Linked DNA regions of Sus scrofa. The protein of the gene in region 1 interacts with the protein of each later gene in a pairwise test. Links are inferred from orthologs where the notes say so. Each region holds a gene or a part of one and is shown in the gene's direction. Other genes may lie near its edges.

Region 1 (2,781 bases):
GTTCCCACTGTGGCTCAGTAGAAACGAATCTGACTAGTATCCATGAGGATGCAGGTTCATTCCCTGGCCTTGCTTGTGGGTCGGGGATCCTGCGTTGCTGTGAGCTGTGGCGTAGGCTGGCAGCTGTAGCTCCAATCAGACCCCTAGCCTGGGAACCTCCGTATGCCACAGGTGCGGCCCTAAAAAAGAAAAAAAGTAAAATAAATTAATAAATAAGACTTCCCAGAGTTCCCGTTGTGGCTCAGCGGGTTAAGAACCTGACATCGTGTCCGTGAGGAGGCGGGTTCCATCCCTGGCCTCGCTCAGTGGGTGGAGGATCTGGCATTGCTGTGGCTGTGGCACAGCGATGCGACCTCTAGCCTGGAAACCTCCATGCTGTGGGTGTGGCCCGAAAAAGAAAAAGAAAAAGTAAAAAGCTTCCCACCAGCCTCCCCAGATAGTCATCCTTAAAGGACACAGCCCCCAGCTACCGCCGATCACCCTCTACCCTGCCGGGCCTTGGGAGGAGGCGCCCCATGCACGGGGCAGGTAGGGTTCAGGCTGGGGGTCTGCCTGCCCTGAGCTCCCACACGCCCACCCTGTGTCCCCTGCAGGAGGCCGTGGAGTCCTGCCTGACCCGGGTCACCAAGCTGGAGCTGCAGCAGCAACAGCAGCAGGTGGTGCAGCTGGAGGGCGTGGAGAACGCCAACGCGCGGGCGCTGCTGGGCAAGTTCATCAACGTGATCCTGGCGCTCATGGCCGTGCTGCTGGTGTTCGTGTCCACCATCGCCAACTTCATCACGCCCCTCATGAAGACCCGCCTGCGCATCACCAGCACCGCCCTCCTGGTCCTCGTCCTCTTCCTCCTCTGGAAGCACTGGGACTCCCTCACCTACCTCCTGGAGCACGTGCTGCTGCCCAGCTGAGCGGCGGCCTGTCCCGACCCTGTGCGGTCCCCGGCGCCCAGCTGGCCATGCTTCCCCGCGGGGGGGACCCTGGGGCTCCGGAGTCCCTGGGACTTCTTCCTGTGTCCAGTTTGGCCTCCTGCCCAAACTGTCCATTCCAGCTCCGTCTGCCCCCTTCTCTGTTCTTGCTTTCTTCGGTCCGATGCCTTCTGTCCCTGTTGGCCTGAAGGGAGCCTCCAGGGTCACCCCGGCTGGAGGCGGCAGGGACGTCCGTGACCAAATAGAGCAGGGGACACCCTGATGGACTGTTTTGATTAAATTTATAGTCACACGATGATTTCTCCCAGCTGACACAGATGACATGGTTCAGGAAGGCCAATGAGCATGGGGACAGGGGAGGGCCATGCCTCAGCTTCCCTGGGGGAGAGGCTGGCAGCTCCTGTTCCCTCCTCCAGAGCTGTTTGAGGCTGGATAGTGGGTTGGGCCCTTCTGGGATCTGAAGGAGGCAGGCAGGCTCTCGGGAGGCTGGGTGGGCATGGCTTTGGATTCGTGTTTTCTCTGGAGTTCTTTCTGCCTGTCCCTGGATCTGCTCTTTTCAGGGAAAGAGGCCCGAGGGGCCCCCAGCCTCAGCCCAAGCCCTTAAGGTTCTATTTATTTTATTTATTTATTTATTCGTTCCTTTGGACCGGATCCCCCTGAGCTCCAGGGAGAGGGCCCCGCCCTCACCCCGTCCTCTCTCTGAAGCCAGGGCTGCTTCTTGGCTTGTCAGGCACTTCCATCCCACTTAGCTCTGGATCATCCTGGCTGCGAGAAGTGGGGGCAGGGCCAGCCGGCTCCACCTTCCCAGGCAGCCCCTCGGCCTCTTTTATACGTCTATTTATTTGGTATGTGTGTGTTTGTGTGGGGGAGGTTGTTTGTTGCTTTATTTTTTTAAGGCTCTGGAGTGTTGTGTATGGTTTCTCTTCCCTTCCCAGCCTCCCCGAGGGCGCTTCCAAGAAGAGGGGGGGCTTCTCGGAAAAGGAGAAAGAAATCCCCTTGGAGCAGGGGAGGGCAGGGCCTGCCAGCTATTGTGGACCTTCCCGAGAAATAAATACCCTCTAAATTTTCAAACCATCCTGTGTTGTGCTGATTGATTAGGCTGTTTCCGTGGAAACCACTCAGTCTCTTCCAACACTCAAGCCTTCTGGGTAACACAGCTGGGACCACACCCGTTGGCCTGAGACTTTATCCTCCAGGATCTGACGTTGAACAAGGTGTCATTCACCCTTCCATTTGCTTTCTGCAGCCAAAGCTCTGGCTTCGATGGTAGGGAGGTGAGATGATGCTTGTCCCATCCAGCACCTGCAGAGTGCTTTCTAGGAGGAAGGGAATTGGGAGAGCAGTTCCTTAAATGGGAGAAGATAAGCAGCTGGAGGCCTGGACGGCAAGTCATGCTCAGGTGTGGCCACGAGAGGGCAGCAGAGTCCTTATTCAACCCTTTCCTAGGGTTCGGTCCCAAAGACAAACAAGCCTCTGTTTTGTTTTAATTACTCAATGAATTTATTACATTTATACTTGTACAGTGATCATCACAATCCAGTTTTATAGGCTTTCCAAGTCACAACCCCAGCGCATACCCCCAACCCCCAAACTGCCTCCTTTGGAGACCATAAGTTTTTTAAAGTCTGTGAGTCAGTATCTTTTCTGCAAAGAAGTTCATTCTGTCCTTTTTTCAGATTCCACATGTCAGTGAAAGCATTTGATGTTGGTGTCTCATTGTCTGGCTGACTTCACTTAGCATGATCATTTATAGGTCCATCCATGTTGCTAAGAATGCCGGAATTTCGTATTTCGTTCCTTTTAATGGCTGAGTAATAGTCCATTGTGTATATGTACCACATCTTCTTGAGCCACTCCT
Region 2 (4,270 bases), on another chromosome or scaffold:
TCCTTAATGAAATTGTAAAAATTAAAAGAGTTCCTATTATGGCTTAGTGGATTAAAATCCCAAAATAGTATCCATGAGGATGTGGTTTTGATCACTGGCCTTGCTCAGTGGGTTAAGGATCCTGAGTTGCAGTGAGTGAGCTGTGATGTAGGTTGCAGATGTGGCTTGGATCCAGTGTTGCTGTGGGTGTGGTGTATGCTGGCAGCTGCAGCTCTGATTTGACACTTAGCCCAAGAACTTCCATATGCCACAGATGCAGGCATAAAAGAAAAAAAAATTAATGAGAAATATATGTAAAGTCCTTAGTAACAAATGATATTTAATAAATGTTAGCCATTATTACAAAGCCACATGAATTTTGTTACTGCATTTGTAATAGGAACGTAATTGATCCTTTCCCCTAATAATGGGTGCTTTAAAAATCTTTTTAATTTACAGTGATGTGAGGAAAAAAGAAACACTTTGTAATTCAATGATTAACAAAGCCTTGCTTCTCCTGATTTAAAAGGGTTATTATTTAATAGTTTCTCTCTCTTGGCGTTCCCACCGTGGCTCCGCAGATAATGAATCTGACTAGCATCCCTGGATGCTAGTTCCATCTATGGCCTTGCTCATTGGGTTAAGGATCCTGTGCTGCCATGAGCTGTGGTGTAGGTCGCTTTGCTGTGGCTGTGGCATAGGCCAGCTGCTACAGCTCCTATTCACCCCTAGGCTGGGAACCTCTATATGCCACCGGAGCAGCCGGTAAAAAAAAAAAAAAAGAAAAGACTAGTTCCTCTCTCCCTTTTCTCTTTGGCTGTCAGGAAGCTAAGAGTCAAGTTCCAAATTTAACAAAAGCGGGTAGCCAGCTACACAGTTGTACAACTGTTTTTTCCTTTGTCAAGGTCTTCGCTACCACTTCATAATTACATTTTCTCTAACCCTGACTTTTTATATCCATGAGGGCAAATTGTTTGGTTTGGACAACAGTGCCATTTCACAAGGGTAAAGAACATCTTAGAGAGTGGTTATGGTCAGAATCACCTTTCGACCCAAGCAATGCCTAGGTAACAGCTTCCCTCCCTCCCTCGGCGCGTCTCTCCGCCCCTCCTCGCCCCTTGGCTCCGCCCCTCTTCGCCCCTTGGCTCCGCCCCTCCTCGCCCCTTGGCTCCGCCCCTCCTCGCCCCTTGGCTCCGCCCCGTCTCCCCGTCCCGCCCCTTCCCAACCGCCCCTCCAGTCTCTCCGTCCCCTGCGCCAGCGCGGGCACCGCCTCTTCTCGCGGGAGCTGTGCCCTGGTGGGAGGGGTGCCAGGGCCGTTCCTAGGATACGACGGATAACAGAGAATTCGGCAAGTGTGGACTCTGCTGTCTAGGAGCCTGAGAAACCGCTTCCACCAAAAAAACCCCTGCACTTATTAGTCAGGTAGGAGGACAGGTTCTGGCTGCCCTCTACTGGCGCGACCCCCCAGACCGACCTTGAGGCGGTGGCAAACGCCCTGGGTTCTGTGCAGGGCGCCGAAGCCGCCGGGGCTCTGGGCGTTGTTTTTCTTCTCTAGAATGTTCCAGCTGTCTCTAAAAAACTGCAAAGCATCTTTCTTGGTCACTTTTCTGCCTCCAAATCTCTTATTTGGGATTCGGAAGCAGAAGCACCAAGCTAGGATGTGTACCTCACCTCACACCCGAGTGCTTATCACGGTTAATAATATAGAAGCAAGACGTTTGTGTGACCCAGATCTGGCATTTGAAAATGTTTACCCTCTCGTAGTGACCGTTTTCAGTCTTGAGAAAATAGCGCTCTCAGACGTTCCTCTCACGGGCTTCGCTGTGGCTCTTAAAAAACTTAAAAACTCAAGAGGGCTATTTGATGGAAGGCAAAACTGGATCCCTGCCTTTCTACTTACACTAATATTCTGTACATATATATGTATGTATATATATATATGAACGAAATTATGTATTTTAGGTCAAAGAGGCACGTTCTGCAATCATCGTAGTGTTTTTCCTTTTTAAACAACTTTTTAAAGATTATAACATTTACACTTGAATAATACATTAAAAATGATTAAAAAAAAAAAAAAAAAGAATGGGAGTTCGCGTCGTGGCTCAGTAGTTAAGGAGTCTGACTAGGAACCGTGAGGTTGCGGTTCGATCGCTAGCCTAGCTCAGTGGGTTAAGGTTCCGGCATTGCCGTGAGCTGTGGTGTAGTTTGCAGAGGGGCTCGGATCTGGCGTTCCTGTGGCTGTGGCTTAACCTGGCAGCTACAGCTCCGATTGGACCCCTAGCCTGGGAACCTCCATATGCCACAGGAGCGACCGTAGAAAAGGCAAAAAGACAAAAACAAACAAACAAACAAACAAACCCCCAAAAAACTGAAAATCTGCTTTCCACCTATGTCCTTCTGCCACCACCCCACCCTCCACTTCACCTTCCAGAGAAATTCTATGCATAAACAATTATGTAGTTGTGCCGGTAACACTGTGCATACTGGTATGTTCTTTGGAGGAGGTCCTTGAAAGGACTTGACCCCTGGTTTACCCAGTACCCAGGTGGGCAGCTGAAGACTCTTTTCCCTTTCCTGTCCTTGGAATGTCCCTTCTCCCATTGTGCCTGAAACAGGACATGTGTTATTGAGACCATATGAACTGTATATATGACTGAACCCAGTTAAAGTCTCAAAACTCTTAAGATTTTGGCAGGTGGATGTTGAGATTTACTGTCTTTAGGCTGCCCAAGACAACCCTTGCTACCTGCCACCTACAATTTGGAGGGGTCTGCTTCTTTCTTCAGTTATCCTTGCGCTCTGTGTTCCAGGCTCAATTTTAGCTCTACCCAGGGAATTCCAGAGGTTGCGAACCAAAAGCTTTGCCTTTTCACTTAATTAAACCATACATGATGTAGCTTTTAGAATTGGCTTCTTCATTTAGCGTAGCTCATTGGAAATTCACCCATGTTGTTGTGTGTGGCAGTGACTTATTCCTTTTTACTGAGGGGGTGATATTCCATTTTGTGAATGCATGCATCATAGTACGGGTATCCATTCCTCAGCTAAGAAATATTTGTGTTATTTCTGGTCTTTTGGTGAGTAAGAACGAAGCTTTTATCAACTCGTGTGCAGATCTTGTGTGAATGTAGTTTTCTTGGATACAGATTGCTGGGTCATATGATAAGTGTGTGTTTAGTTTTACCAGAAAACTGACAAGTATCTCAAGTACTAAACCAATTTTCACTTCCAACATCAAGGTACAAGAGCTCCACTTGTATTCATTGTCATTGGCTCTTGATATTGCTGGGCTAAATTTTTTTTAAACTGTTCTAATAGATGTTTAGAGAAATCTCATCTGAAGTTTTATTTCTCTAATGACTAACGGTATTGAGTATCTTTTCATACTCAGGGACAAGACTAGAGTGAGGTAATGAGGCAACTAGGTCCAACATTTTAGGAGGCATTTATTCTCAGGCATTAGTGTGTGTATAGAGCAGTGCAGGTGCCACACTTGCCTCAATATAGTCCTGGCCCAGCTTATTTTCTTCCTATGTATAATCTTTGGTGACTGATCTGTTTAAATCTCTTACTCATTTTTTTCCCCTTACTGTTATTTTTTTTTCAATTGTGTTTGGAGAGTTCTCTCTATATAATCTGGGTACAAGTCCTTTATCAGATGTGAGTTTTGCAAAAAATTACATCCCAGGCTATGGTTTGTCTTTTGATTTTTCTAGGTGTGTTTTTTGGAAAGCAGAAGTTCTTGATTTTGTTACCGTTGCTGTTTTAGAAGATGCCGTCTTGGCCATTTTGGGGGGAGGGTGACCCAACCAGATAGAAACAAAAGCATTACCCCAGATTTTCCAGAAAGGGCGGATAAGTATGATGCTACGTGTTCGAGCTTCTTTGTGTTACTTTCTTTCCTATCAGGCCACTAAATTTTATTGTGGGAGAAAATTATAACCAAAAGGAATTTTTTTTTTTTTCTGGTGATTGAGAGCCTGAAGAGGTTTCTTGAACTTTTAAAAAATTGAGATCTTGTTTAGTTTTGTCTCATTGCACTTTTTTTTCTTTATTGTTCTGGATTTAAAAACTTCATTCAATTCTTTTATTGGTTGCTGTTGAAATTTAACCACATTTATTTATTTATTTTTTAGAGCTGCACCCATGGCATATGGAAGTTCCCAGGCTAGGGGTCGAATCAGAGCTGCAGCTGCCAGCCTACGCCACAGCCACAGCAGTGTGAGATCTGATCGGAATCTGACCTATGCTACAGTTCAAGGCAATGCCAGATGCTTAACCCATTGAGTGC

Evidence for each region.
Region 2: the proteins of TMCC2 (region 1) and IQUB interact in a two-hybrid assay, tested with the Homo sapiens proteins (2 studies listed by BioGRID and IntAct). The two-hybrid records come from large-scale screens. The link is inferred for Sus scrofa from reciprocal best matches to the Homo sapiens genes TMCC2 and IQUB.

Annotation. Positions count from the first base shown.
Region 1 is NC_010451.4:65,950,609-65,953,389, forward strand, and holds the end of TMCC2 (transmembrane and coiled-coil domains protein 2), read left to right. Parts: intron 1-593; coding exon 594-905; 3' UTR 906-1,998; downstream 1,999-2,781.
Region 2 is NC_010460.4:23,901,731-23,906,000, forward strand, and holds the start of IQUB (IQ and ubiquitin-like domain-containing protein), read left to right. Parts: upstream 1-1,224; 5' UTR 1,225-1,401; intron 1,402-4,270. UniProt on the Homo sapiens protein: Adapter protein that anchors the radial spoke 1 (RS1) complex to the A microtubule of outer doublet microtubules in axonemes. The triple radial spokes (RS1, RS2 and RS3) are required to modulate beating of the sperm flagellum.